Linked DNA regions of Anolis sagrei. The protein of the gene in region 1 purifies or fractionates together with the protein of each later gene. This does not show direct contact. Links are inferred from orthologs where the notes say so. Each region holds a gene or a part of one and is shown on either strand. Other genes may lie near its edges. The genes, in order: RSU1 and PARVA.

Region 1 (11,336 bases):
TCCACTACCATAAAATTTCAAAAAATGACTCATTATTTTTTCCCCTCTATCTGGTTTTAAAAGCTGCTTGTCCATTGAAGAATGAGGATTAGCACATGCTGTTTGGGCAAAGTGAATGGGTCATACTGGTGCTCTTTGTAAGTGTCCAAAGTAGCTAAATTAACTTCAGTGGATTTTAAGAGAGTGTTCAACACATTTGCAACAGATGAACAGAACATTCCTTCAATGTGACCTTTGCCGTTGGAACTACTGCTTGGTGAGAGCACATTTCTACTCAAGAAGATAGGCAATGGAAAGTTGAAGTGTTCAGAACCATTATCGTATGAGATCTGGACTGAACTCCAGTACTGTGACTAGTTGGTTTTGCAATGGACAAACTATATGATTACTATTATTTGATACACAACAAAATTAGTACACAGCAAACAAGATTACTATTCTGGCTTTTATATTGGATCACATGTTGGACACTTATTGTTGTTGTTGTTGTTGTTATTATTATTATTATTATTATTATTTAAAATACAACAAGATGAGCCCACAGCAAACAGCAAACAAGGTCACTCTGCTGGCTGTTGTACTGGATCATACATTGGACATTTCTCAAGTGTCTAGGACTGTGTGATGTATCGGTGAATAATGAATGCTGATCCTTTTGCAGCTGACAGATGGTAATCTTGTCAGCACCAATTGTTTTTAAGTGCAGGCCAAGGTCTTTAGGCACTGCACCCAGTGTGCCAATCTCCACTGAGACCACCTTTATTGGCTTGTGCCAGAGTCTTTGCAGTTCGATCTTTAAATCCTCATATTGTGTAAGCTTTTCCATGGCTTCTCATCAATTCTGCTGTCGCCTGGGATTGCAACATTGATTATCTCTATACTTTGTTTTTTTTCCCCACAATCATGAGGTCAGGAGTATTGTGCTCCAAAACTCTGTCAGTCTGAATTCAGACGTCCCAGAGTAGTTTGACGTGTTCATTATCTGTAATCTTTTCTGGCTTGTGATCCCACCAGTTTTTTTGTCGCAGGCAGATGGTATTTGTGGCACAAGTTCCAATGAATCATCTGAGCAAAGGTATTATGCCTCTGTTTGTAGTCCCTCTGCGCAATTTTCTTGCAGAAGCTGAGTATGTGATCCATCATTTCACCTGCTTCTTTGCAGAGTCTACACTTGGAATCTGTAGGGTCAACTTTTCAATTCTGGCTTTGATGGCATTGGTTCTAATGGCTTGGTGTGCAACAATTAGGCCCTCCATCTCCTTTTTCAAAGTTCCTTTTGTGAGCGACATCCATGTTTTTTCCTTGTCAATTTTACTCTCAGTTTTCCCCAGGAACTGTCCACTGAAATGTTTCTTTTGCCAATTTTCTCTTCTGCTCTATCATCATCATCATTGTCGTCATCATCATCATCATCATCATCATCATCATCATCTGCTACCTGCCTCTCCTCACAGCTTGCAGTTAAAACATACCACCGTTTTGTGTGTATGTGTATGTATGTATATTTTGTTGTTTATTCGTTCAGTTGCTTCCAACTCTTTGTGACCCCATGGACCAGCCCATACTAAAGCTTCCTTCAAGGTTGAGCCAGTCACTTTAAGAATACCATCCATCCATCTTGCACTGGGTTGGGCCCACTTCCTTTTTCTTTCCATTTTCCCCAGCATAATTATCTTTTCCAAGCTTTCTTGTCATCCTATTATGTGGCAAAGTACTTCATCTTTGCCTCTAATACTTTTCCTTCCATTGAGCAGCTGGGCTTTATTTCCTGGAGTATGGACTGGATTGATCTTATTGCGGTCCAAGGCACTCTCAGAATTTTCCTCCAGCACAGTTCAAAAGCGTCTATCTTCTTTCACTCAGTCTTCCTTATGGTCCAGCTCTCACATCCATTGATTACTACAGGGAATACCACTGCTTAAACTATTCAGATCTATGTATGTGTGTATATATATTACAGAGCCCCTGGGGGTGCAGTGGGTTAAAGCGCTGAGCTTGTTGACCTAAAGGTCACAGGTTCAAATCCGGGGAGCGGCATGAACTTCCGCTGTTAGCCATAGCTTCTGCCAACCTAGCAGTTCCAAAACATGCAAATGTGAGTAGATCAACAGGTACCGCTCCGGCGGGAAGGTAACGGCGCTCCATGCAGTCATGCTGGCCACATGACCTTGGAGGTGTCTATGGGCAATGCCGGCTCTTTGGCTTAAAAATGGAGATGAGCACCACACCCCAGAGTCTTTTAAACAGAGGCTGGATGGCCATCTGTCAGGGGTGATTTGAATGCAATATTACTGCTTCTTGGCAGGGGGTTGGACTGGATGACCCACGAGGTCTCTTCCAACTCTTTGATTCTATGATTCTATGATTCTATGATTCTATGATTCTATGATTCTATGAGTCAGACACGACTGGACTTCATAGAATAGAATCAAAGAGTTGGAAGAGACCTCATGGGCCATCCAGTCCAACCCCCTTCCAAGAAGCAGGAATATTGCATTCAAATCACCCCTGACAAATGGCCATCCAGCCTCTGCTTAAAAGCTTCCAAAGAAGGAGCCTCCACCACACTCCGGGGCAGAGAGTTCCACTGCTGAACGGCTCTCACAGTCAGGAAGTTCTTCCTAATGTTCAGATGGAATCTCCTCTCTTGTAGTTTGAAGCCATTGTTCCGCGTCCTAGTCTCCAAGGAAGCAGAAAACAAGCTTGCTCCCTCCTCCCTGTGGCTTCCTCTCACATATTTATACATGGCTATCATATCTCCTCTCAGCCTTCTCTTCTTCAGGCTAAACATGCCCAGCTCCCCAAGCCGCTCCTCATAGGGCTTGTTCTCCAGACCCTTGATCATTTTAGTCGCCCTCCTCTGGACACATTCCAGCTTGTCAATATCTCTCTTGAATTGTGGTGCCTAGAATTGGACACAATATTCCAGATGTGGTCTAACCAAAGCAGAATAGAGGGGTAGCATTACTTCCTTCGATCTAGACACTATGCTCCTATTGATGCAGGCCAAAATCCCATTGGCTTTTTTTGCCGCCACATCACATTGTTGGCTCATGTTTAACTTGTTGTCCACGAGGACTCCAATATCTTTTTCACACGTACTGCTCTCGAGCCAGGCGTCACCCATTCTGTATCTTTGCATTTCATTTTTTCTGCCAAAGTGGAGTATCTTGCATTTGTCACTGTTGAACTTCATTTTGTTAGTTTTGGCCCATCTCTCTAATCTGTCAAGATCGTTTTGAATCCTGCTCCTGTCCTCTGGACTATTGGCTATCCCTCCCAATTTGGTGTCGTCTGCAAACTTGATGATCATGCCTTCTAGCCCTTCATCTAAGTCATTAATAAAGATGTTGAACAGGACCGGGCCCAGGACGGAACCCTGCGGCACTCCACTTGTCACTTCTTTCCAAGATGAAGAGGAAGCATTAGTGAGCACTCTCTGTGTTCGTCCACTTAACCAATTACAGATCCACCTCACCGTAGTTTTGCCTAGCCCACATTGGACTAGTTTCCTTGCCAGAAGGTCATGGGGGACCTTGTCGAAGGCCTTACTGAAATCCAGGTACGCTACATCCACGGCATTCCCCGCATCTACCCAGCTTGTAGCTCTATCGAAGAAAGAGATCAGATTAGTCTGGCATGACTTGTTTTTGATAAATCCATGTTGACTATTAGCGATGACTGCATTTGTTTCTAAGTGTTTGCAGACCGCTTCCTTAACAATCTTTTCCAGAATCTTGCCCGGTATCGACGTGAGGCTGACCGGACGGTAGTTGTTTGGGTCGTCCTTTTTTCCCTTCTTGAAGATTGGGACCACATTGGCCCTCCTCCAATCTGCTGGAACTTCTCCCGTTCTCCAAGAACTCTCAAAGATGGTTGCCAATGGTTCCGAAATGACTTCCGCTAGTTCCTTCAGTACTCTTGGGTGTAGTTGATCTGGCCCTGGGGACTTGAACTCATTAAGAGCGGCCAGGTATTCCTGGACGAATTCTTTCCCAATTTGGGGTTGGATGTCCTCCAATCCCTCATCCACTCCATCTTGCTGAGGTTGAAGACTCTCTTTTTGTGAGAAGACCGAGGCAAAGAAGGCATTAAGTAGTTCTGCCTTTTCCCTATCCCCTGTCAGCATTGCCCCATCTTCTCCTCAAAGAGGTCCTATCGCCTCCTTGTTTTTCCTTTTTCTACTGACATAAGAATAGAAGGCCTTTTTATTGTTTTTAATGTCCCTGGCAAGTCTGAGCTCGTTTTTTGCTTTAGCCTTGCGGACCTTTTCCCTACAGCTGTTGGCTATTTGTTTGAATTCTTCTTCTTCTTCTTCTTCATGAATTCTTTCATGTCAGGGGAAAACCTTTACCTTACTATATATATTACATTCTATAAAACACATACATTAAAATACATGGTACAAAGTTTAAAATGCCATAGTAATATAGGATAAATGTAAAAATCATAGTTTAAAAATGATTGGGTAGGCCTGCCAGAAGAAAAGGTTCATATTCCACCAGTTTACTTTCAGTAGTCAACAATATGCTTTAAATCAGGGGTCATCATACTTTTTAAACAGAGGGCCAGGTCAAAGTCACTCAAACTGTTGGAGGGCCGGATTAAAATTTGGGAAAAAAATGAATGAATTCCTATGCACACTGCACATATCTTATTTGTAGTGTAAAAACACTTAAAAACAATACAATAATTGAAATGAATAACAATTTTAACAAATATAAACGTATTAATATTTTAACGGGAAGTGTGGGCCTGCTTTTGGCTGATGAGATAAGATTGTTGTTGTTGTGTGCTTTCAAGTAGTTTCAGACTTAGGTTGACCCTGAGCGAGGGCCGGGTAAATTGTTACATCCCGAACAGATTACTGCAACGTGCTCTATGTGGGGTTGCCTTTGAAAGCTGTTCGGAAACTTCAGCTAGTCCAATGGGCGGCAGCTAGATTAATCAACAGAGCGTCATACAGGGAACATACCACCCCTCTGTTATGTCAGCTCCACTGGCTGCCGATCCAGTTCCGAGCACAATTCAAAGTGCTGGTTTTGACCTATAAAACCCTATACGGCTCCGGCCCAGAGTACCTGTCCGAACGTATCTCCTTTTATGTCCCACCTCGGAGTTTAAGATCTTCTGGGGAGGCCCTGCTCTCGGCCCCGCCTCTATCACAAGTGAGACTGGTGGGGACGAGGGACAGGGCCTTCTCAGTGGTGGCCCCTCGCTTGTGGAATTCACTCCCTGGGGAAATTAGGTCATCAACATCCCTCCTCTCCTTCAGAAGGAGGCTGAAAACATGGATATGGGACCAGGCCTTTGGGTAATCTGACAGACTGATAAGGTAATGACAACCAGAATTTGGAAAGGGCTATGGTAATGCTGAATGGACTTACGGATTTTAGAACTCGGTGAACGTTGACCACTAGATTGTCTTTTTAGTTGTTATTGTATTAATTGATTGTTTTTAACTATTGTGGCTATTGCTGTTATGTATTTTATCTGTTGAATTGTTGGCATCGAATTGTGCCGGTTGTAAGCCACCCTGAGTCCCCCCAGGGGTTGAGAAGGGCGGGGTAGAAGTGCCCGAAATAAATAAATAATAATAATAAATAAATTACCTTGGAGGGCCAGATCTGGCCCCCAGGCCTTAGTTTGAGGATCCCTGCTTTAAATAATATTACCTCCCATTGTCCTGGCATCACTCTATCCGAACATTTCAGTATTCTGGAGGATGAACGAAGGATGCAGGAGGAGGAGGAGGCAGAAGAATGAACGAAGGCAATAAACTGGTTTCCATTACCCTCCTTGTTGTTGTTCATTCGTTCAGTTGTCTCCGACTCTTCGTGACCTCATGGACCAGCCCACGCCAGAGCTCCCTGTCAGCCGTCACCACCCCCAGCTCCTTCAAGGTCAGTCCAGTCACTTCAAGGATGCCATCCATCCATCTTGGCCTTGGTCGGCCCCTCTTCCTTTTACCTTCCACTTTCCCCAGCATAATTGTCTTCTTTAGGCTTTCATGTCTCCTCATGATGTGGCCAAAGTACTTCAACTTTGTCTCTAGTATCCTTCCCTCCAATGAGCAGTTGGGCTTTATTTCCTGGAGGATGGACTGGTTGGATCTTCTCGCTGTCCAAGGCACTCTCAGAACTTTCCTCCAACACCACAGCTCAAAAGCATCGATCTTCCTTCGCTCAGCCTTCCCTAAGGTCCAGCTCTCACATCCGTAGGTGACTACAGGGAATACCATGGCTTTGACTAGGCGGATCTTTGTTGCCAGTCTGATGTCTCTACTCTTTACTATTTTATCGAGACTGGACATTGCTCTCCTCCCAAGACGTAAGCGTCTTCTGATTTCCTGGCCACAGTCTGCATCTGCAGTAATCTTTGCACCTAGAAATACAAAGTCTGTCACGGCCTCCACATTTTCTCCCTCTATTTTCCAGTTGTCAATCATTCTTGTTGCTATAATCTTGGTTTTTTTATGTTTAGCTGCAACCCAGCTTTTGCGCTTTCTTCTTTCACCTTGATTAGAAGGCTCCTCAGCTCCTCCTCGCTTTCGGCCATCAGAGTGGTGTCATCTGCATATCTGAGGTTGTTAATGTTTCTTCCAGCAATTTTCACCCCAGCCTTGCATTCATCAAGCCCCGCACATCACATGATGTGTTCTGCATACAAGTTAAAAAGGTTGGGTGAGAGGATGCAGCCTTGCCTTACGCCTACCATGCCCTTATCTAATACCTTATGACAGTGGCATCATTGCAGAATCATGACCCTGGGCTAACTTCCTCTTTATGTTATAATGGGCTGATAGAAATGAGAAGCGTGTGCCCTTTTATTTCATTACTGGCCTCAACTTTGCTGCAACCATTTCATCAAACTGTAACTCTCGCGATTCCTTAGTCCTGAGCCATGGCAATTAAAGCGGTGTCAAAGTGTAGCCATTCCACAATGTTGTTGCACTCCCCGGCACAACTTTGCCTTCACTTCCTTCCCTTGAGCTGCTGAATTGTATCCTCGACTTTCCCGAATCCCATTGGCTAGCTCTTGAGGCGTCTCGACCAATAGCCGCCGGGCAAAGGTGGAGATTCCTCTCGGATTGGTTGGCCGCGGGCTGCACATTCCAAACTGTGGGCGGGGCCGGGGCTGCCCCGAGCGCTGCTTCTCCTTACTTGGAGCGAAGGAGAGGGTCGGGTGTCTGGGGTTGGGACTGCGCCTGCGCACTGGGAGGAGGCAGCAGCGTAACAGGGCGGGGGCTTCGGAAAAGAGCCTGGAGTGGACCTGACCGCCTCGACCGAGATCCAGCGCCCCGGTCCCTTCCCTTCCTACAGAGGGTGAGTTCCTTGGAGATGCTTCAGAGCAGATGGCTCGCCTTCCTCGATCTGGCCGGGGAGGGGGCAGAGGGTCATCCTCTCTTCCTTCCCTGCAATTCTAGCTTCCTCTGAGGCTGAGACAGTGTGACCTGTATCTGTACTGGAGAATTAATGCAGATTGACACCGTTTTAACCTCAAACGTTCACTGTTATGGAATCTCGGGAGATGTAGTTTTAGAAGGGCTTTAGCCTTCTCTACCAAATGCCCTGATGCGCCCCCAACTCCCAGGATTGCATAGCGTTGAGCCCATGGCACTTAAAAGTGGTGTCAAGCTGCATTAGTTCTACAAGGGTCTGATCAAGGGTCTGGAGAACAAGCCCTATGAGGAGCGGCTTAAAGAGCTGGGCATGTTTAGCCCAAAGAAGAGAAGGCTGAGAGGAGACATGATAGCCATGTATAAATATGTGAGAAGAAGTCACAGGGAGGAGAGAGCAAGCTTGGAGACTAGGATGCGGAACAATGGCTTCAAACTACAAGAAAGGAGATTCCATCTAAACATGAGGAAGAACTTCCTGACTGTGAGAGCCATTCAGCAATGGAATTCTCTGCCCCAGAGTGTGGTGGAGGCTCCTTCTTTGGAACTTAGCCTAGGGTCATGATAGGATGGCCAACTGTCAGGGGTGCTTTGAATGCAATATTCCTGCTCCTTGGCAGGGGGTTGGACTGGATGGCCCATGAGGTCTCTTCCGACTCTATGACTCTATGACTGTAGATACACCCCTAGCCCTGAAAAAAAATAGTGGCCCATTGAGAGCAATGTGACAACTGATTTAGCATCCCTTATCCAGAATTCCAAAACTCGCCCAAATCCAAAATTATCTACATCCCTGGTAGCAGAGAGAGTGACACCTCTGCATTCTGATGGTTCAGTGGACACAAACTTTGTTTCATGCTCAAAATTATTAAAAGCACTGTGTGTAAAGTTACCTGGATGAAGGATGCATGGCAAGCACCAGGACTGTGGCGCAGCTGGCTGGGAGTCAGCTGCATTAAGATCACCACTGACCTAAAGGTCTTGAGTTTTAAGCCAACCCAGGTCAGAGTAAGCTTCCAACCAGTTTGTGTAGCTTGATGTCGACCTTTGCAGCCCGAAAGACAGTTGCATCTGTCAAGTAGGAAATTTAGGTACCGCTTATACGGGGAGGCTTCACTCTGGAATACTCTGCCAGGACCTATCAGCTTTCCACAGGGCGTGTAAGACATATCTGTTTCGACAGGCCTTTGATCTCTGATATTGTTGTTTTAAATTGTTTTTAAATTGTTTTAAATTGTTTTTAAATTGTGTTAGATTTTAGCCTGTTCTTGTAAGCCGCTCTGAGCCCCAGGGGAGTGGCGGCATATAAGTTTGATTTAGAAATAAATGAATAAATAAATAAATAAAATATACGATGCCTTAAAAATCTCCAGCGAGCATGCAAAGAATGAGGAAGTACTTCATCAATGTCACAAATGGACGGTGAAGCGACAGCTCCCCTGGTGGCCAGAATATCCTCATCAAAAAGCTGGAATGTTAAATAGCCTCAATGTGTCTGTGTATATATGTTGTGAGTCTATGGCATTGAATGTTTGCCATGTATATGTACATTGTAATCTGCCCTGAGTCCCCTGCACGGTGAGAAGGGCAGAATATAAACACTATAATAAATAAATAAATAAATAAGCATCAATTAATTTCCTGTTAAGACTGGGGACCTTTCTCCAAGATCTCTCTCTATGTGTATCCAAATAATCTGTTACCAAAGGCTTTCGTGGCCAAAATCACTGGGTTGCTGTGAGTTTCTCCAGGCTGTATGGCCATGTTCCAGAAGCATTCTCTCCTGACGTTTCACCCCCATCTATAGCAGGCATCCTCAGAGGTATGGAGCCCCCGGTGGCGCTGTGGGTTAAACCCCTGTGCTGGCAGGACTGAAGACCGACAGGTCGCAGGTTCGAATCTGGGGAGAGGCAGATGAGCTCCCTCTATCAGCTCCAGCTCCTCATGCGAGGACATGAGAGAAGCCTCCCAAAAGGATGATAAAAACATCAAATCATCTGGGCGTCCCCTGGGCAATGTCCTTGCAGACGGCCAATTCTCTCACACCAGAAGCGACTTGCAGTTTCTCAAGTCGCTCCTGACACGACAAAAAAAAATCCTCCGAGGTTGTGAGATCTGTTGGAAACAAGGCAAGGGGAGTTTATATATCTGTGGAATGTCCAGGGTGGGAGAAAGAACTCTTGTCTGTTTGAGGCAAGTGTGAATGTTGCAATTGGTCGCCTTGATTAGCATTTAATGGCCTTGCAGCTTCAAAGCCAAAGCAAAAGGATCCCTCCAGGCAGCAACCAGCCAGGCATGGCCATTCAGTGCTAATCAAAGTGGCCAGTTGCAACATTCACAACAACAACAACAACAACAACTTTATTTTTGTATCCCACCTCCATCTCCCCGAAAGGACTTGGAGCGGCTTACATGGGGACAAGCCTGAGCAACATAGTTAAAATATAACACATTAAAACACTTGTCAGGCACCCTGGACATTCCTCAGATATATAAACCTCGCTTGCCAGAGCTGATGTACTTATTAATTGTGGGTCTGCTCCCCATGCGCTGCCAGTAAGTTTCTGCAGGATGTTATTGTGTGCAGCTGCTTTGTGCTTGGTGACAAAGGATAAAAAGATAAACTGAATAATTGTCGTAAATTAGTCTTAAGTATACTCCTAGACATAAATTAATGTATATACATCTCTCTGTCCATATGTTGTATCATAGTAGTTCAACAGGACCTGATAGTCCCTGCATGAAGAGCAAGGAATCACTTCTAAAGTATTGACACTTTCCATCCAGAGCTGAGGGGCAAATTGTTGTAATATCTTCTTTCTCCGGAGAACAATCTTCATCCAGATTTGATGGGTTCCAGGATCCAGGTGCCATTCCAAAGCATTTGGAAAATGGATTTCCAAAGGTTATATAATGCACAAACAAACAAAAGCAATCAAAATGCATGAGCAAGACCTACCTCCAGAACTATGGGTGCATCTACATCAGGCATGGGTAAACTTCAGCCCTCCAGGTGTTTTGGACCTCAACTCCCATAATTCCTAACAGCCGGAGGGTCCAGGTTTGCCCATGCCTGATCTACACTGTAGAATTAATACAATCTGATGTCACTTTATCTGTCACAGATCAATGCTGTGGAATAATGGGAGTTGCAGTTTGATGAGGCACCAACACTCTTTGGTAAAGAAGGTTAAAGACCTTGTAAAACTATAACTTCCAGGATTGCATAGCACTGAACTATGGCAATTAAAGTGGTGCCAATGCATTCATTCTTCAATATAGATGTCATCAGATTAGCAACAGAGGAAAATCCACGTCCCTGTTCTATTCTCAGCCTTCATGTTTCCCAAAACCCATCTTCTTGGTAGAAGAGGACCAGCTAACAGCATCATTTTAGAAGATAGCTCACTGCAAAATATTTTGAACAAGCTCCTAATTGGGAGACACAATTTCACATCAAGATGGCCTATCTTCTACCATAAAATGAAGAATCACAACATGCAGGCATTGTGTTTTTTCATGACCTTTATGCCTTTTCTGTCACATTGAGATCACTGGAGTGAGCAAGTTCTCCCCCTCCAATTGATTTCATTTGAGATTGGCTTATCTGATACAGTAAAAGAAATGTCCTTTCAGCTTTATGTATCTTTTCTTGACCTGCTGCAATATACCTCTGTTCTTTTTGCAGCTTCCATCATGTCCAAATCCTTGAAAAAAATTGTGGAGGAGAGTCGGGAGAAGAACATCTTGGAAGTCGACATGTGCGACCGGGGAATCTCTAACATGCTAGACATACCTGGTTTGTGTAAGTATTTCTCGGCTCTGCTTTAATGCTTTTGCATTTCTGCAACAGCAACCTTGCTTCTGTAGACAACTGGTTATTAAAAGGAACTTGTTGTTATGTGTGACTTCAAGTCATTTCTGACTTATGGTGACC
Region 2 (10,951 bases), on another chromosome or scaffold:
TTTAGCACACTAAAATATAAAGCAATATAACATTTATCGCAGGGATGTGGAAAATCATAATAATCATCGTCACTTATAGCCCACCTTTCCCCCAATATTGGGATTCAATGTGGCTTACAAAATATTAAAAGACTTAAAAGAATACAAACATATAAGCTCTGTGTGTATGTGTATAAAAATTAACCCCCCCCCTTCAAAGTCAAAACCATTGCAATTAATTAAAAGACATAAGAGAAAGCAACAAACAAAAACAAATAATGCAACCATTAACTGTCCCTTGCAGTCAATTACAATAAGTATGCTAAAATAGGAACATTTCTATTCCTTCCTCTGTTGTACTGCTCGATGTGTCCCCTAACTTCTCAAATTCAAGGTAGACTCATAGATGGAGAAACAGTCCTTCTGATATCATGGGCTGGAGCTTTATATTACTTTATATTGAAAAAAAGTCTCAAAAATTCATGGAGACTTGTTAAATTGACAGGTGATTTGAAGGCATGTGCACACACTAGCCATTTTTCCCACAAGAAGTTCAAGCAAAGGTAGAATATGTGACCCTCTAAATATTATTAAACTGCAGCTTCCAGCATCTCTTGCTTTAGGCCAGGGGTCCTCAAACTAAGGCCCGGGGGCCAGATACGTCATTTACCCGGCCCTCGCTCAGGGTCAACCTAAGTCTGAAATGACTTGAAAGCACACAACAACAACAACAACAACAACAACAACAATCCAAAATCATCATCCAAAAGCAGGCCCACACTTCCCATTGAAATGCTAATAAGTTAATATTTGTTAAAATTGTTCAATTTAATTATTGTATTGTTTTAAAGTGTTTTTTGCACTACAAATAAGATATGTGCAGTGTGCATAGGAATTCATTCATGCTTTTTTCAAATTATAATCCGGCTTCCAACAGTTTGAGGACTGTGACCTGGCCCTCTGTTTAAAAAGTTTGTGGACCCCTGCTTTAGGCCCTGGTGGCTGGAGGTAATGGGAATTCCAGTCAAATAACATTTGGAAGCCTGTATTTTTCCCACCCCAAATTTGCTATAATTAAAAATTATTTTAACCATTTTGCCTTTAGATTTATGAAAAGAAGCTACCAATGAATATGCAGTGTTGGCTGGGATTATAAATGGAGCAGAAGAAAGTCAAATTTGCACCTACTTTGGAGGAACACAAGCAGCAAAAGAGATAAAGAACAGCATTTTGAAAAATGTCAGAAATCATCTTCTGAAGGTTCTACTCTATCTGCCAGGCGACTTTTTGTCCTTTCAGAATGATATACATTATAAATGCAAGATATTAATTAAAGTTGTAGATGAAATAACTTGGTACTGAAACTGCAAAGGGGCAGAAGGATGTTCCTATTAAGGTAAATAAAAATAGCTCCTAATATTGATGTATATAAAGAAACAGTGGATAGATTCTATGTGTTGCCTTATCCAGTATGCTTTCACTGTGGAAATGCGAGTGGGATATTCATCATTTTCCATTTCCTAGATTTTTAATTCTGCATATATTTGAAAGTCAGAGAACTAGGGGATTTCTTTGGATCTCTCCTTCCTTGAGATTATAACCTTTCAGAATGGGACTTGCATATGTTAATTTCATATATGGGGATTTTTTTTTTTAAAAAGGAGCATTGCCAGTATATCAATGCATCCACATTCAGTATTAATTGTTGTAGTGACAGAACATACAACAATTAATATATGCATTTTATAAATGCATAACTGTAAACATGTCAGTTCAGTGTTTAACAGATGTAATTTACAAGCTAGAAAGCACTGTGATGTTAGTGAAGCTTTAATGCAGTGGTAAAGATTTGCAATTTGTACCACTGTATTAATATCAAAGGGATTATTCTTTGCAAAATGTAGAAAGATCACATGATCCTTGTGCTGCTGTAACCAAAGACGACAGCATAATATGCTGACAGAAATATATATGATAATTATAGTTTTTACAATATGTTTTTGCTTCATAAATAGTACCAGTATATGATCCTTATGTGTATATAAAATTCTGAATTGTGATATTTGGTGTTAATGGGAAAAATCCTGACCACATTGCTTTGTATGATACCAACAGTATTCATTAGAAGGGCTGTGCAAACATATATGCCATATTTACACTGCAGCTGAAGATAAAAGGCCAGATAATAAAATTAAGAGCAAGAAGTTGGCACTGGGCTCGTACCTTGACTACAATTCACAGGCACTGATATACTGTTGCCATCACTCAATGTTCTGTAGGTTAAACTGTTTGCAGGATTTCAACCCAATGGGGAAAGGTCGATCCTTCAATTTTGGTTCATCACCTTGTGTTCAAGAAACTGAAATCATCTGGTAATGTCTTTACTTAATTTATAAAATATTTTTTGAGGGACCTGTTTTGATTTCACACTCTAACTAGTAAGATTAACTATTACATAACTATATCTAAGCTGCTTAAAATGTCCTGTCTCTGGTTAAGCAAAAGCAAAATAAATAAACATCTTGAGCCAAATTACAAGTCCTAGTTGAAGCATGAAGAATAAACTAGAAGCTTGTACAACTAATGAACAATCTAATTCTGTAAAATGCGGAGTTTGGGAATTTTCTTTCTGAATTATGACTCCAGGAATTGCAACAAGTATGGCCGCTGAGCATACCGACTGGAGATTTGGGGAGCTGACACACAAAAAGAAGAACTAAATTCCAAAAAGGCCCAGTTCAGTTCATTAGTTTAGTTGAAATGTGTATGAGTTGCAAGATATCTGGTCTTTTTTTAACCTTCAGACATTAGATGAGAACAAAAGCTTGTTTCTATGGGTGAAAAGCTTAATGTTTCCCTTTAAGGGTGGATTTGGAGAACTGTGGTTTGTTATAACCAACTTTTGTCACAACAACTGCTGTTTCTTGAGTTCTTAAGCAGAGCTGAATTGTTCTTCATGTGAAAGCAGTAGTTTTTAATCTCCTTTTGTAAAATGGAAGACAAAGAAGAGAGGAATCTACATGACACTGTGTCTCATTTCCTAAAACAAACTGAAAATCCAATTGGGAAAATATATAAATGTTCCTGCAAACAACACTGGGGGGAAGGTTCTCTTTGCTGTTTATGTATTTATTTTGTGTGGTGTTTACATACAGTGGTAATTTATTAGCATATTTATTCTTGGGGTTCACTTTTCTATTTTGGTCAGTAAGTGGAATACCTACAGTAACCAAAGTTTAGGCGAAGTTGCACCACTGGGTAATTATAGTGTAATAATTCAAGCCAAACTTTACAATATCTGTGTTTTCCATTTGTACTGAACAGATGCACTTTCGTCATAATGTATGTGTATTGTGAGTCACTACATCATTGCAATGTAAGCTATCTCTTTGGTAATATTAAAAATGTATTAAAATTGAACAAAATGTTGATAATATCTTGCTGAAAACACTGTGGCCATACTGAATTTTTAGTTACTTGACCAAGAATTCTGGAATGTTTAATGGAAATGCAGGTGTGTATTCATCATGATAAAACTGCAGCTAAACTGGCAGTTCATTGCTTATGTTAATGAAATGGCCTTCTTCAGTGGAAGAAAGAGGGAGGACAACTACATGAACTGCATGACAAAACAAACACCTTACCAAAACAGGATAGAGATATCAGGTCAAAACAAAAATGAGGAATACTACTTGAATAGACTACTGCAATAGACTACTGCAATGCACTCTACATGGGGCTGACTTTGAAGACTGTTTGGAAGCTCCAGGTGATCTAACAAGTGACAGCCAAGCTGCTCACTGGAGCGATGTACAGAGAGCATACAACCCTCCTGTTACATCAACTCCACTGGCTGCGGGTCTGCTGCCAAGCCCAATTCAAAGGGCTGGCTTTAGCCTATAAAACTCTAAACAGCTCTTGTCCAACTTACCTGTCTGAATGTATCTTTCTCTATGAACCAGTTAGAAAGTTAAGATCTGCAGGGGAGGCCTTGCTCTCAGTCCCACCCCCATTACAAGCACAAGTGGTGGGGATGAGAGACAGGTCCTTCTCAGTGGTGGCCACTTAGCTATGGAACTCCCTACCTGGTCTATAATAATTGAAGACAGGATTATTTTCCCCTGAATTCTACAAGTGAGACAAATGAAAAACTATATATTAGGGCAATGCCTTTACCAGACCATCTCTCCCCAAAGCACAAAACAACATGCAAGTTTTTGGAATAGAGAAATCACTTCACCAAGAAAGAGATTAATTGCTAAAGGTGTGATTGGGTCAGACAGAGAAAGAGAACTAAAAAAAATGAAAACTGTCCTAAAATCTGTATGACCCTGTCCTATCTTGAATTGTGATGGGGCCATCAAACCTCTCCTCCTCACGGCCTCCCATATGCTTTTTCAGGAGGCATCTGATCTTTCATCCAAAATCAACTTCCACCATGCATTGCAGCCCTCATGCCCAACATTAAAGGCAGTGGGAATATATCCAAGGAAATACAGGTTAAGCACTCCTTACCCAGAAATACAAAATCCTCACACATGCAAAATTGTCCATATGGGTTTTTTTTTTAATTGTGTCAGAAGCAAATTGGAGTTACTTCTGGTGTGAGAGGATGAGCCATCTGCAAGGACATTGACCAGGGGATGCCAAGATGTGTCACCATCCTGTGGGAAGCTTATCTCATGGGAAGCTGGAGATGACAGATAGGAGCTCACCCTGCCTCGCAGATTCAAACCGACAACCTTCAGATCAGCAGTTTAGCCGGCACAAGGGTTTGACTCATTGCACCACTGCAGCTCCATCCATATGGGTTGCTGCAATGGCAACACTTTTGCGTTCTGGAGGTTCAAAGACAAATTTTATTTCATGCACAAAATTATTAAAATAATTGTGTATAAATGATTTTCAGACTATGCCTTTAGGGTGTATGCATGAACACTTTGGAGCACATCACCAAAAGATGTCATTATGTATAAGCAAACATTCCAAAATCTGGAAAAAAAATCTAAATTGCTTCTGGTCTTAAGCATTTCAGGTAAGGGATACTCAGTATGTGTTGTCGAAGGCTTTCATCCCAGAATCACTGGGTTGCTGTGAGTTTTCCAAGTTGTATGGCCGTGAAGCATTCTCTCCTGCCGTTTTGCCCACATCTATGGCAGGCATCTTCAGAAGTTGTGAGGTCTGGGTTGCTGTGAGTTTTCCAAGCTGTATGGCCATGTTCCAGAAGCATTATCTCCTGACGTTTTGCCCACATCTATGGTAGGCATCTTCAGAGGTTGTGAGGTCTGGGTTGCTGTGAGTTTTCTGGGCTGTATGGCCATGTTCCAGAAGCATTCTCTCCTGTTGTTTCACCTGCATCTATGACAGGCACCCTTAAGAGGAAAACTCACAACAACCCAGTGATTCTAGCCATGAGAGCCTTCAACAATATGTTGTGAGGTCTGTTTATGGCTGTAAATTGAAACCTGTGTGTGTATGTGTGTTTGTGTTTCCCCAGTAACCCCCCTCCCCAAAAAGTGCTGCGATCATTCCAGATCCCTTTGTAGTAAGATACAGACTGAACATTCCTTCCCTGGATTTCTGAAATACTCCAAAACTGTCAAAATGGGTGGCTGAGATAAGGACAATTTACTCTTCTGCTGGTTTAGTGGGCACAAAATGTGTTTCATGGGAAAATTACTAAAAATATTGCCTAAAATTCCCTTCAGACTAAGTGTTTAGATGGGGGTCCCATTTCCAAGATGTATATATATTACAAAAGAACTTCCTGACTGTGAGAGCTGTTCAGCAGTGGAACTCTCTGCCCCAGAGTGTGGTGGAGGCTCCTTCTTTGGAGGCTTTTAAGCTGAGGCTGGATGGCCGTCGGGGGTGCTTTGAATGCGATTTTCCTGCTTCTTGGCAGGGGGTTGGACTGGATGGCCCACAAGATCTCTTCCAACTCTAGGATTCTATGAAAACCTGGAAAAATCTGAAACGCCTGGCCCCAAGCACTTGGGAGAAAGGGTTTCCAACCTGTAGGGACTTGTCCTTCTGGGGCGAAAGAATGGGAGGTGATGGTTGGGAGGGGGGGGAATCAGCTGCTGGGGGGCGGGCTTTTCCAAACTCCATCGTGGCTCCTGGGAGTCCCCTCCAGGCAGCGAGGAAGGCGAGGCAGCGACTCCTTCTTTGGGTGGAGAAAGAGAGAGAGAGAGAGAGAGAGAAGGAGGGAGAGAGGAAGAAGGGAGGCGGGAGGGAGGAAGGGAGGGAAAGAGAGCAAGAGCAGCCTCAAACGTTTCGAATAATTCCGCTTCCGTCGGGAATCGGGACCGGGAGGCTGCGAGGGAGGGAAGCCCGGGTGCCTCCTCTCTTTCTCTTTCCCGCTCGGGGCGCCTCCGCCGCCGCCGCCCCCTCCCTCCCTCCCTCCCCGCCATGGCCACCTCCCCGCAGAAGTCGCCCTCGTCCCCGAAATCCCCCACCCCCAAGTCGCCCCCCTCCCGGAAGAAAGACGACTCCTTCTTGGGGAAACTCGGGGGCACGCTGGCCAGGAGGAAGAAAGCCAAGGAAGGTGAGCAAAGGGGGTGGAAAGGACGGAGGGAGGGAGGGGGAGGAGAAGCCAATCGGTCTTGCCCCGGGGTTGCCACGCAAGCTGCTGTGCCAGGGCGCCTTGAAGGGAGCAGAGGCGGGGAGGTGGAAGCAGGCAGGCAGGGAGGGAGGGAGGGAGGGAGGAAGGGCCCTGTTGCTCCGCGCTGCCCTCCAGGCTGGGGATCCGGGAAGGAGGGGGGGGGGGGCGCGCGAAGGGAGGCCGCCTGGGTGCGCCGCTTTGCCCGCGTCACTCGCGAAAAATGTAGCCTGGAGCGGGCGAGGGAGGGGCCAGGGCTGCCGCGAGGCGCGCTTCCCTCCCTCCTCTGCTGCTGCTGCTGCTGCTGCTGCTTTGGCCTGCGGAGCGCAGGAAGCGGCCGCTCCTCCCCGGCCCCAGAGGCAGCCTCCCCGCCCCTGCTCCACCCCCTCTCCTCCCCCGCCAGACTGTGAGGCTTGGGTTGGCCCATCTCCCGCCGGCGCCTTGGTCCTTCCTGCCCTGGCCTTCTTGGGGACCAGCTGGGAGGCCCACGGAGAGGGGGGCCAATAGTATGATAGCTGGGTCTGGAAACGGTGAGAGCATGATAGCTGGGTCCGGAAGCTCCAAGCATTACGCACATTCCGCAAGGGCGGTTGTGAATAAGGGCGGGAATGTACTTCAATTTGGTGGAAGGACAGAAAGGAAGGGAGGGTTAGGATAAAGTTTAGGGTAAGGTTTAGGGTTCGGGTAGGGTAAGGGTTAGGGTTAGGATTAAAATTAGGTTTAGGGGTTAGGTTTAGGGTTTGGGTTAATATTAGGATTATGGTTTGGGTTAGGAGTAGTGTTAGGTTTAGGGTTCGGGTAAGGAGTGGTTCTCAACCTGGGGTCCCCAGATGTTTTTGGCTTTCAACTCCCAGGATTTCTGGGAGTTGTAGACCCAAAACATCTGGGGACCCCAGGTTGAGAACCACTGGCTTAGGTTTTTACCGTTAAAGAATTCTTACATTCCTTCTATAATATCTGTGTTCCGTTCTGCGTTACGCAAACAGCGCTCCCATAGGAGCAAAGTGGAAAGAGCATAAGGCTCAGAGCTTCCGGACCCAGCTTTCATACTATTACCCTAGAAACTCCGGGCATTACTGAGATCCCACATTGCTTCTTTGGGAGCACTGTTTGCACAAGAGAGACTGGCACTTTAGTTGTGAAGCCAGGCCGGAGACAGATAATATAGAAGGAATGTAAGAGTTCTTTTAAGGTGAAACCCTTACCCTACCCCTAATCCTTACCCTGAACCCTGCCGTAAGCCTAAACCTAACCCCTTACCCTAACCCAAACCCTAAACCTTACCCTAACCCTTACCCTTACCTTTACGTCAACTCAAACCCAACCCTAAACCTTACCCTAACCCTAACTAACCCCTAATCCTTACCATAACCCAAACCCTAAACCAGGAGTCCACAAACTTTTTAAACAGAGAGCCAGGTTTGAGGGCCAGGTCACAGTCCCTCAAAGGGCAGGTTATATTTTTTTTTTAAAAAAAAAACAAGAATGGATTCCTATGCACACTGCACATATCTGTAGTGCAAAAAGCCACTCAAAACCAATACAATAATTAAAATGAAGAACAATTTTAGCAAAGATAAACTTATTAGTATTTCAATGGGAAGTATGGGCCTGCTTTTGGCTAATGAGATAGGGTTGTTGTTGTTGTTTTGTGCTTTCATGTTGTTTCAGACTTAGGTTGACCCTGAGCGAGGGCTGGGTAAGTCACATTGGAGTGCCATATCTGGCCCCCAGGCCTTAGTTTGAGGACCCCTGCCCTAAACCTTGCCCTAACACTTACCCAAACCCTAAACCTTACCCTAAACCTTACCCTAACCCTAAACCGCACCCTAACCGTAACCCCTAACTGTAACCCAAACCCTAAACCTTGCCCCAAACCCTACCCTAAGCGTCCCCTCCTTTCTATCCTCCCTTCGCTCTTCCTGCTCTCACTCCGCCCCCTCTCTACCCTTATTCACAGCCTCCTTTGCGGCATCTCTGTACCGCTCAGAGCTTCCAGACTCAGCTATCATACTATCACCCCCCTCCCTCAATGTTGGAGGGCAATCCTGGTTGAATCCTGGGTCACCACCAAGAAGGCCCTCTCCCTTGTTCCCACCAACCGTGCTTGAGAAAAGGTCTTCATTTGGGGTCAGTGGTGTCACTAAAGCTGGTGCATATCTCTTCTGCTCCTGGCCCAGATTCTTCATCCTCTGCCACACCACTGATATCCTGTTAATTTTATCATAGCTGGAATACTATGCAGCTCATTGCCCTCTGAGCCTCGGGTGGGACAGTGAGTTAAGTCACTAAGCTGCTGAACTTGATGACCGAAAGGTCGCTGTTCGAATTCGGGGAGCGGGGTGAGCTCCTGCTGTTAGTACCAGCTTCTGTCAACCTAGTAGTTCGAAAACATGCAAATATGTAGATCAAGTATGTCAATGGGTACTGCTCTGGCGGGAAGGTAACTGTTCTCCATGCAATCATGCCAGCCACATAACCTTGGAGGTGTCTATGGACAACGCAGACACTTTGGCTTAGAAATGGAGATGAGCACCACCCCCAAGAATCGGACAGGATTGGAGGGGCTCATTTAATTCTTGCTTCTTATAGACTTAGCATGGGGATTTGGTTAACCAGTTAAAATTCATGAGTAAACTAGTGTTTATTAACCTGAAAAAATTCAGGAGGGAGGTGTTAAATCCCCTCCCCCCTTGGCTACAACCCTGCTTGTAGCCAATCATCATCATCATCTTTATTTATATCCTACCACCATCTCCCAAAAGGGACTCGAGGTGGCCTACAAGGGACTCCAAGTGCAATATAACATAAATGGTACATAAGTATAAAACAATATAAAGTTACGAAACAACTGCTATCAACATATAAAATAAAATAACACAATTTAAAAATGCAGACCATCTAGTTAAAACTAGCTGCCATCAATTCACAACTAAAGTGCCAGTGTATCAACCTCATATGGGTCCATTTCAGTCTACTCTAGGCCAAAAGCCTGTTTAAAAATCCATGCTTTTTGGTTGGATTGGAAGGAGTCAAGGGTGGGGGCTAATCTAATCTCTTTTGAGAGGGTATTCCAGAGCTGGGGAGCCACTACAGAGAAGGCCATCTCTTTCATCCCCACCAACCACGCTTGAGAAGGTGGTGGGACCGAGAGTTGGGTTCATGGCATCTCTATGAACATCTTCCTGTACCAGACTGTATCACATATCTATTCAGCAACAGCCCCCAGGTTCTCATCCCATCCCATTCCAGTTATATCCCCGCAGAGACACAGGAATTTTAGCATAGCTGGGATAGTGTGGGATTGGTTTCCCCCTGACATTAAGTCCAGTCATGTCTGATTCTGGGGGATGGTGTTGTCTGCAGACACCTTCAAGGTTATGTGGCTGGCATGACTGCATGGAGTGCCTTACCTTCCTGCCAGATAGGTACCTATTGATCTACTCACCCTGCATATTAGTGATACCCCTATGGTTGGGTTCACCTAGTGAGGTAATCATGATGTTACTTCCTCCCCTACCAGACCATGCTGCCTACCTGTTCTTCTCTCTCATCCCACTGCTATATCTGCAGAAACCCGCTGATTTTAGCCTAGCTGAAATAGTATTAAACCAATCTGTACATTGTATTTCATGCTAGCATCCTTAGGATTGGTTTCACCTAATGCAATAACTCATGGTATCATCTCCATGGACTTGCTCCCATAGCATACTATGTTGTGCTCCTGTCCCCAATTTCCCATCCCACTGATATCCCTGCAGAAACTGACACATTTTAGCATAGCTGGAATATTGTGCAAGTCATCTGTACATCACATTGCATGCTAGTGACATCAATTGATTTTACCCAGTGCTGTATCTCATGGTGTCATCTCCATGGGCCTCCTCCCCTATAAGGCCTTGTTGCGTATGTGTTCTCCTATCCTTGATTTTCCATCCCATCCCATCCCATCCCACTGATATAACTGCAGAGATTCACAGATTTTAGCATAGCTGGAATAGTATGCAACTCATCTGAATATCACCTTGCATGCTAGTGGCATCCCTAGGGTTGATTTCACCCACTGTGGCAAGTCATAGTGTCATCTCCATGCACATCCTTCCATACCATACCTTGCTGCATATCTATTCTGCTCCTGTGCCTGATTTCCCATCCCATTCCACTGATATCCCTGCAGAGAATCATGAATCATAACATAGCTGGAATAGTCTGTAAATCATCTGCACTATGCCTTGCATGCCAGTGGCATCCCGAGGATTAGTATCACCTACATCAACCTTCTGCCATACCAGACTATAACACAATATTGAAACTAATTTTTTAAAATCAGCAACTATGAAAAACAAGCGGCAACAAAAACAATGGTGCCTACCT

What was found.
Region 2: the proteins of RSU1 (region 1) and PARVA purify together in Homo sapiens (affinity purification with mass spectrometry; 3 studies listed by BioGRID and IntAct, counting the BioPlex papers as one, with this or other methods). This does not show direct contact. The link is inferred for Anolis sagrei from reciprocal best matches to the Homo sapiens genes RSU1 and PARVA.

What each region holds. Positions count from the first base shown.
Region 1 is NC_090026.1:105,611,000-105,622,335, reverse strand, and holds the start of RSU1 (ras suppressor protein 1), read left to right. Parts: upstream 1-7,173; 5' UTR 7,174-7,325; intron 7,326-11,087; 5' UTR 11,088-11,095; coding exon 11,096-11,204; intron 11,205-11,336. UniProt on the Homo sapiens protein: Potentially plays a role in the Ras signal transduction pathway. Capable of suppressing v-Ras transformation in vitro.
Region 2 is NC_090021.1:254,326,557-254,337,507, forward strand, and holds the start of PARVA (alpha-parvin), read left to right. Parts: upstream 1-6,202; 5' UTR 6,203-6,387; coding exon 6,388-6,523; intron 6,524-10,951. UniProt on the Homo sapiens protein: Plays a role in sarcomere organization and in smooth muscle cell contraction. Required for normal development of the embryonic cardiovascular system, and for normal septation of the heart outflow tract.